Linked DNA regions of Mus musculus. The protein of the gene in region 2 interacts with the protein of the main gene of each other region in a pairwise test. Links are inferred from orthologs where the notes say so. Each region holds a gene or a part of one and is shown on either strand. Other genes may lie near its edges.

Region 1 (3,804 bases), on a different chromosome or scaffold from region 2:
GATAACCTCTGGGGGCTTTTAGGTTCCTGGGAAACCCATGGAAAAAGGTAGTTTGAGCAGAGACCCATAAACCCAGAAAGCAGGCTCCTTGACCACCACAGCTAACACAGTCTGCATGGCTCAAAGAGTCTGGAGGGCTTTTTTTCTCTGGCTGTCTGTTCTCCCTGACCTGGATGAAACTCCTCTGATGACAGCTGACAGGAGGTGGGAGCACAGCTGACAGGAGGTGGGAGCACGCCAGCTGCTTTGGACTGCATGCCCTCCCCGCTGGGTTAGTGGGTGAGGCTATTTAAAGAATGAAGAAGGAGGAAGAGAAAAGTTGCTGGAGTGTAGTGTCAGAACCTCAGTTCCAACCAGAGCAGGGTGAAGATCCACGAGGGCGAATGAGCCAGGCCTGGGATCCCAGCACAGGGAGGCTGAAACAGGAGCGTTTCAAGTTCATGATCAACCTTAAGCTTCACGACCAGACCCTATCTCGAACAGAAAACCAATAAAAAAACAAACAAACAAACAAACAAAACCCCACTCAGACAGACAGACAGACAAAGCTGGCTCAGGGGAAGATTTATTTGCTCCAGGTATCTGCAGAGAGGAGATAGGTATACAGAGACGCAGACACAGACAGAGGCTGTCCCACATCCCACACCTGCCGGGGAATGGCAGCTGGATGCTAAGCTGGAGGAAGTAGAGAAGGCAGTGGCAGGCATGGTGCCAGCCTCTGAGGTATCGAGCTGGTGCCGCTTGCCTCTCACACAATGCCATCAAACCCCTGCAAGCCACACTTCTTGCCAGCCACCTGGCACCCGAATCTCAGGGCCTCTTGCATGCTGTTTCCTGGAGAAAGGACAAATAGCAGGCTCAGCCTGGTGTTTGGGAGCATGACAGGCCCAGCCCTGCCCTGGCTGCATGGTGATGACCTCACCCTTCGAGAGGCTGAAGATGACAGAGGCATTGAAGGTGTCTCCAGCCCCAAGAGTGTCTACTACTCGGGGCGGTGGGAAGGCATCTGAGTGGAGCAGCTGACCATCGGGGCCCAGGGCATCGGCACCCTCCTCAGCCCAGGCACAGACAAGCGTAGCCCTGTAAGACTCACACAGATCGGCGCTAGTCCCCGTCATCCCCCAGACCCCTCAGACCCTTTCTTGGCTTCCCAACTCACCCTTTCTTCACTCGACTGTACAAGCCCCTCAGGGCCTCCACTGCTGACTGGAACCCCAGGTGCTTGGCCACATCTTTGCTGACAAACACCTGTAGGCAGTGAAAGAGACTGGTAGTCACCTCTAATTGCTACTCACTACCAACAACCTGGTGTTGACTCCAGGTTATAGCACAACTCCTCCAACTCAGTCACGTAAGTCCCTAGTGTGGCTTCTTGCTGACCCACAGGTACGCGTTTTATGTTTGCTTAAGTTGTGCCAAAATACAGCCTTGGGAACTGTGATACTGTAGCCCTGGTATTTTCATTCTGGCATGAGGGAATTCAAAACCCAGAAAGAGCCTAGAGCGCCATCTTGGGGTGAAGTCAAGCCAGACTGACTCTCAAGAGTGAGCTGTGTTTCATCTGTTCCCCACACAGCCCAGCCCTGCAGAGTGGGTTCATCTGTAAAACAAGGCTCTCTCCACAGTGGCTTCAAGACAGAGTCCCTAGAATAGTTCTGGGGGAATGGGGATCAGTCTGCCATATTTTTTAATTGGGCAACAAGGCCAACAAACTACATCTGGACACTGTCCAACCAGCTTTAGCAGTGATACCCTTTACACTCTGGCCTAAGTTTTCCTTGTACGAGTCTCCTTCCCATCCTCCTCTCATTGCTACTGGCCCTCACAACATGCCATCTAAGTGGGAAAAACTGGTAACTCGGAGAGCAGTCATTCCTTCTTTTGCAGAGGGAAAGACTAAAGCAGACAAACAAGGGACGCCCATAGCTGTCTGAGCCCTGTCCGCCGTACACCTGTGGATTCACCTGAGCGGGAAAAGTCTACTTCTGGGTCACCTCCAGCCTCCCAGCTGTGGTCTTCTGGGAGCTGCTAGGCTGTCACTCAGAGGCTGGTAGGCAGGACTAGGGTCCTCTCTAGCTCTAAGATTCAATTAGCTAGAGATAGGCAGGAGGAGCTGCAGGACACTTACCACCTCACCATAGCTAAACAACTGGAAGAGCTCCTCACGGGGCTTCTCTATCTCCACCGACACCCGGACCTTCTGTGGCAGAGGCTGCTTGGCATTGTGCTCCTCTATCCGCTGCAGCATCTTCACCTGTTCCGATGCATTCCGGCCCTGGGGCAGGACAGGGCAGCTCAGAGCCTAGCTGATAAAGAGTTCATTCCTTCCTCCCTGATGGACCTCTGGGTGAGCAGGGAGAGGGATTGGAGGAAGCTGGGCTGGAGCACTATTGCAGCTACATAATTCTAGGACTGTCATGGACCTTGGAGACCTTATTGGCCAAATTTTTCATTTCCCAAATGAGACTGAAGAATAAAAGATGCTGGACATACATGCCTGTGAACAAAGCACTTGAGAGGCTGAAGCAGGAAGATTGTGAATTCTGGGCTAGCCTGGGCTACATAGTAAAACACTAGAAAGGCGGGACAGAAAAAGAAGCAAAAAAGAAAAAGGCTGGGTGTGGAGGCACACTCCTCTAATCCCAGAACTTGGGAGACTGAATCAGTCAGATTTCTGTAAGTTCAAGGCCAGCCTGGTCTACATAGCCAGACCATGTGTCAAACAAAGAGCAAGCAAGCAAACAAACAAAACACACAGAGAGAACAAGAATGAGACAAAGAGGGAAAGAAGGACCAGGGAGGTGAGACGGGAAAGGAGAGGAAAAGTGAAGAAGAGATGGAGAGGGAGAGGGACACAACCTGAAGACTAAGTCAAATGATGAGACAAGGAGTGGATGCCTGCACTTCTTAAGATTTCCTCTCATCTTGATCCCAAAACTTCTCCCTTGGAAAGAAAGTTCTAATTCCCTCCAGACCCTCTCCTTCCTGTCCTTCCTGTCCTGAGAAGTAAAAGAAGTCAGCAAAGGCAGATACCAGGAGGGAGGTAGCCTAACACAAAAATGGGGTCTTCTGCCCAGTGCTATCTGTGATTGTATGCCCCTGTATCTCTCTTTCTGGGCCTCAGTTTCCTCATAGGAAAACACAGGAGTGGAGAGGGATGGGGAGAGCTATTTAGTATCCCTACCATATTTCATGGTTCAAAGAAATTACAGAAGAGGCTGACCATGCAGAAGGGCCTGACAGGCTAAGCCCCTAGAAACACAGGTAGGGAAGGGCTTGCCTCAATGTGGATCCACTTGAACCGGGTCAGATCGACCTTCTCAAAGTCCTTAGCAGACACATCTGGCAGGTTCCTACATTACAAGACAGGAAGGGAAAAAAGGAGGTCAGCCAGTACCAGGTTCTCTGACAGCTAGGGACCCTGTATCTAGTAGTGATACCAGCAGCATGGCAGGAGGCTGGGGAGCACAGAGCTCTGAGCCCTACGGTGAGGTGAGCCTTGTCCTACTTTGCTTAGGTGTCCTTTTTTGTTGGTGGTGGTGTGTGTCCGTGTTAAATTATCCAAGGATAAACACAATTACAACATGTGACAAGAAGCCAGCCCCATGTTCCTTGGAAACCACGTCCTCCAGAATGAGTGTGTGAGACTACACTTCCCAGAAGGCCTCTTGCTGAGACTACACTTCCCAGAAGGCCCCTTGCTGGGAGCACACATCGAACTACAAAGCTTCTTTAGTTAGTCTCTTAGTTGGGAGCTTGCAACTGACAGAACACCCTACTGAGTCAGGCTCCCCACGTCATCCC
Region 2 (4,557 bases):
ACCATTGTCACCCACCTGGCTGCTGCTTTCTGGGCCAAAAGTGGGGGAGCTGGCCAATTCATATTGAGGGGGACCACAAAACACAACAACAACAACAACAAAATATTGTCTCCTTCACCTGATACCTGTCCATTTCCTCTTCTCCCTGATTTTTCCGGAGGATGCTGTGAAGAGCTGAGAACCCTGATAAAACTCATTACACCCTGGGATCCTTCTCGCCCATCCTCACCAATGGAGTATACACAGTTTTAAGGCAATTTCCCTCATTTACGAAAAACAACACACACACACACACACACACACACACACACACCTGTACTCTGACCGAGCCAAAAAAAAAAAAGGGACAGAGAAGGGACTCCGGATTCTCGCAGTGGCTCTATCGCAGTGGTTCTATCTGGTGAATTGGGTCAGAGGAGTGTGTGAAGGGGCTGGGGGTGGGGGCAGTACCTGTAATAATCCTCCTTGCAGTAAATGCTACCGTCCTTGGCAAAGCAGGTGAGCTCAGATTCCAGAGCCAGCTTACATTCACAGCACTTCAGGCACCTAAGATGCCACTGTTTGTCTACGGCCAGCAGATAGTACCTGTCGGAGATCTTGCCCCCGCAGCCGGCGCACAGAGCAGGCTTCTCCGGGCTGAGAGGGGGCATACCCTGTGAAACAAGCACAAGGCAAGGCTGAGGGTGGGTTCGGGGCGTTGCCGCACAACCCGGGACGTCCTGGCAGAACGGCAACCCCAGCGCAAAACAGCACACCATTACAAGGGCCACAGAAACATTTGCAACTTCCCCCCATTTTCAACATTCTGTTCCCCTTCCTAGCATCCTGATCCTCCTAGCCTTGTGACCCTAAAAAAAAATCTCAACATCTTGAGCTTGCTGAGAGCCTACAGGATGTTTTGATGGGCGGTCCAGAAGGAGAATAACTAAGGCTAAAAATGTGTAACTTTCAAATAATACACAAAATAAAATAACAAACTGTTATTGAGAACTAGAATTCTGAAGTACGTGAATCTTTTATACACAGACAATACTATAATTCCTTTTTTTTTAATTTATATAGGCAGAATAATTTGGCCGTCGTTGTGATTCGGACATACCTAACAGCTCTTGCTGTTAAGGCCGTCGCCCTAGCCCTATCCTTGGTGAGAAAGTGAAGTGCCTGTCCTGAAAGAAGAGCCCCATCCATTCTTTTCCGTACACTCGCTCTTTTCTCTAGCCAGCACAAACAGCACAGATAATTATCTTGAATTTTTGATTCCCAAACTAAGACCTAGTTCCCAAATGAGGCTAGCTAAGGCGGTAAAACTTATTCTGAGAAACACAGTTGGGATGTGGTTGCCGCTTTTAAAATAAAGTAGCCATTACAAGTAAAAAGTTCACCGCTGGACCCTTTCCTCAGACTAGCAGAAACAGTCCGGGCTTCCCTTATTACATTCTGGTGGGCATGGGAAGGATAAATTTCGTCCTTTACTCAGATATTGGATTCTCACTGAATTAATTATACAAATAGCGACAGTGGACTATTATCCCAAAACCTCGCTGTTCTTGTCTAGAGCCCTCTCGGGTCAGTTTGAGCTACAGTCCTTGCTGTTATACAGAGGGTCTACAAAGCACTCTTTGCCCGGAATCATCTCCGCAGACTTCTGTAGTTTTTTCCCCCTTTGGTGCGTGGAAGGGGGACATGTTTAGGTTACTAGTATTTTCACGAAGACATAATAACTGCTGTTACGAATAGGAACCGCAATAGTAGATTCCATCTCTTGAGGTTGTAGCGCTCATGTTCTTGCTTTTAGACTAGGGACCCGCTCCTTCGCATTTTATTTGATTTGATTTCCCACTATCCAATACACTGGTCCCATAAGGAAGAGAAACGCAATTTTTGTGACGACCAGAGCAGCTGAACTGTCCTGCAGAGCCCCTAACAATCTCTGGTTTCGGGTGCTGAGCTCCGAAGAATGGGAAAAGGACCAGAACGTTGAGGTCTACTCTGAAGGTCTTGTCTTCTATCCCAGGGCAAGGACGCCAGGCCGGTAAGTAGTCCCCCTATTAACTGCACCAAGGCTTGCCCTGGGGGCGGGCGGATCCGGCCTGGCGGCCAGGTCGCGGGAGACTGGAGTTTGTGGTTGGCAGGGAGCACGCCCGCTCCTTCCAAGGCCCGCTGCCCTGTCGGCTCGGGATCAGCTGCTATACAAAGACTGGAGAGCTCAGGACTACAACATCTTAGACACCTCGATTCGGAAAGGGAACCTTGCCTAGCAAGCACGCCTCTCGTGAAAACCTTGCGAACATCCCTAGGCAAAAGTCCCCGGGACCCGCCATCCCCAACCTGGGCGGACCGGGAGACTCGCTGTTTCCCGGGCGCCGCGCCCGGACTGGTCCTTACCGCGTCGCGGCCGTTGAGCTGAGTGCCTTTGGTCAGACGGGCCTCAGTCTTGGATCTGCGCTCCATCTCCTCCATGATACCTTGGATGTGGCCTCCGGAGATTCCGTGGAAGAGCATGGCTGGGGGGCGGAAAGGACACGAATTGTTTTCGGCTCGGCACCCCACTATTTCCATAAACACACGCCTGGGGCTCTCAGTTCATTCGAGTGAAGAAGCAAAAGCGACCGCACAGGGCTGCGCGATGCAGAAGCGTAGAGACGCGTTGGGGAACAGGGACAAGAGAGGAAAGAAGAAAACGACAGAGTAGAAATAGCTCTACTTGAGAGGGAAAAGACCGAGGCAAAAGAACGACGGGGAAGGGGGCGGGGGGGGGGGATATCCAGGGTTTTCCAGAAGGAGATGTGCAGAAAACAAACAAACGCGGACGGAGGGAAAAGCAGGCGATTCTAACTGCAGCGAGAGATCGAGTTACTAATGGAAAACAACTGCCGAGGGGGGTTGAAGTGGGGGGGAGGAAAACAAAATCTAAGGAAGAAAGAAAAATAGTTTTGAACACAAAGAAAGAGAACGAAGTGCTAGATTCAGCGGTCCCCGGCTGCCTGCAAGTTCCCAGTGCCTGTAGGTTGCGTTGGGGACTGCTCCAGCCGGAGCTGTGTCCAATTTGTTAAGAGACTAAAGCCAGCCCATTTTTGATAATTTAGTAGGAGGAGTCCTCTCCCTGGAGCTGCCACGGATTTTTATTCAGACAACAAAGACCTGTCATACCTCCTCTCAACCCCCTGGTGATGGGCAAGCAGGGACAAACATTACAAAGGGGTGGGGGACTGGGGGAAAGGCAGAAGGAGGGGGTCTTTACCCCCTCCCCACATGCGCGCCTGCACACACACACACACACACACACACACACACACCCTCAAGCATACATCTTTCCAAGAGTTCCCAACAGTCATGTTTTCAAAGCGGTAAAGGAGCCCTTATTGTCCGCATCCTGGATTTGATCCTAGTTTATCCGACCCCAGCCAGGAGTGCACAGAAGATCAGTTCCAAACCTTAAGTTTCCTTCTCATCTACAGACTTTTTTAAATCCCCGTTTTACAAGACTGTCACCAGAAATGTATAAAAACCCCACAGACTTTGAATCACTCCACGGAAACGGTACTTTTAATGTATGCTCCCTTGCTCCCCATCTCTTCTTAACTTACTTATTAAAAGCACTCTTCAGACAGTTGTCTGCTTGCCTAACCTCCCCGAGGGCAGGCGGTGCCACCAGGCTCTGAGACGTCCACCAAAGTGAAAAAGGGGCGTGGAGAGCCTACTTTTCTGAGTAATACTTTTGGAAATATATATATTTACTATATATATATATACATATATATAGTAAATTTTTCGAGTGTACAGGCCAGGACATGCTTTTGTAGACTGTATACTTAACAGAACCTTGACCGTGGAGCGGGTTACTCTTTTACCTAATTCTAGATTGAAGGTAAACTTGGAATTCTAGAGTCCCCTTTGGAATTTGTCACCGTGCACAGGTCTTGGGTGAGCTGGATGCCCGACTAGGGTAGGACGACGAGGCAATAGCCGCTAGTGTTCCACACACTTAGAAGGGTGTGAAAGAGGCTCTGGGTGGAGGCGGGGAAGTGAGAACTAACAGGCAGGATGGCAGACTGCTCCTCACAAGAGATGGTATTGTTCTGTCGCCCTCTGTTCTAGTTAGCTCGGCCCTTCCCCTCCCTCTGGACCCATTAAAACGTGTCCACAATACCGCAATACTCTGATATTGTGGATTCACTGAAACGACCACGGGGTGGGGGTGGGGGGAGTCCTAGGATCGTGATGCCAGGAGCAGCGACGGGAACTTAATCCGAAAGGGAAGAAAGCCTGGCCGCTCCCGCTCCTCTCTGCCTGCTCGCCAGTCTCGGCTTCACCACCACTTCTCGGGCTTGCGGGCGAGCATCGGGGCTTCTGTCTAGAAAGCTGGAGAAGCACCCCGCGGCACCGCCGCCTCCCTCCACCCAGGCGGCTCCACGTGGAACTTTAACCCAATCTGGAAGGAAGGCTGAGGAGAAGAAGCTGGGGAAAGGGGCTAGGGAAGGAAAGGAAGAAAGAAGAGAATAAAGGAACCGTGTGAATGAGAGGGGGACTTAGGAAGAAGAGAGCGAAGGACGTGAA

What was found.
Region 1: the proteins of Lhx9 (region 2) and Khk interact in binary tests that used the Homo sapiens proteins (3 or more experiments, as listed by UniProt). The two-hybrid records come from large-scale screens. The link is inferred for Mus musculus from reciprocal best matches to the Homo sapiens genes LHX9 and KHK.

What each region holds. Positions count from the first base shown.
Region 1 is NC_000071.6:30,927,992-30,931,795, reverse strand, and holds the end of Khk (ketohexokinase), read right to left. Parts: intron 3,354-3,804; coding exon 3,281-3,353; intron 2,276-3,280; coding exon 2,129-2,275; intron 1,249-2,128; coding exon 1,160-1,248; intron 1,081-1,159; coding exon 923-1,080; intron 835-922; coding exon 749-834; 3' UTR 548-748; downstream 1-547. UniProt on the Homo sapiens protein: Catalyzes the phosphorylation of the ketose sugar fructose to fructose-1-phosphate.
Region 2 is NC_000067.6:138,839,423-138,843,979, forward strand, and holds the start of Lhx9 (LIM/homeobox protein Lhx9), read right to left. Parts: upstream 3,023-4,557; 5' UTR 2,560-3,022; coding exon 2,386-2,559; intron 654-2,385; coding exon 451-653; intron 1-450. UniProt on the Homo sapiens protein: Involved in gonadal development.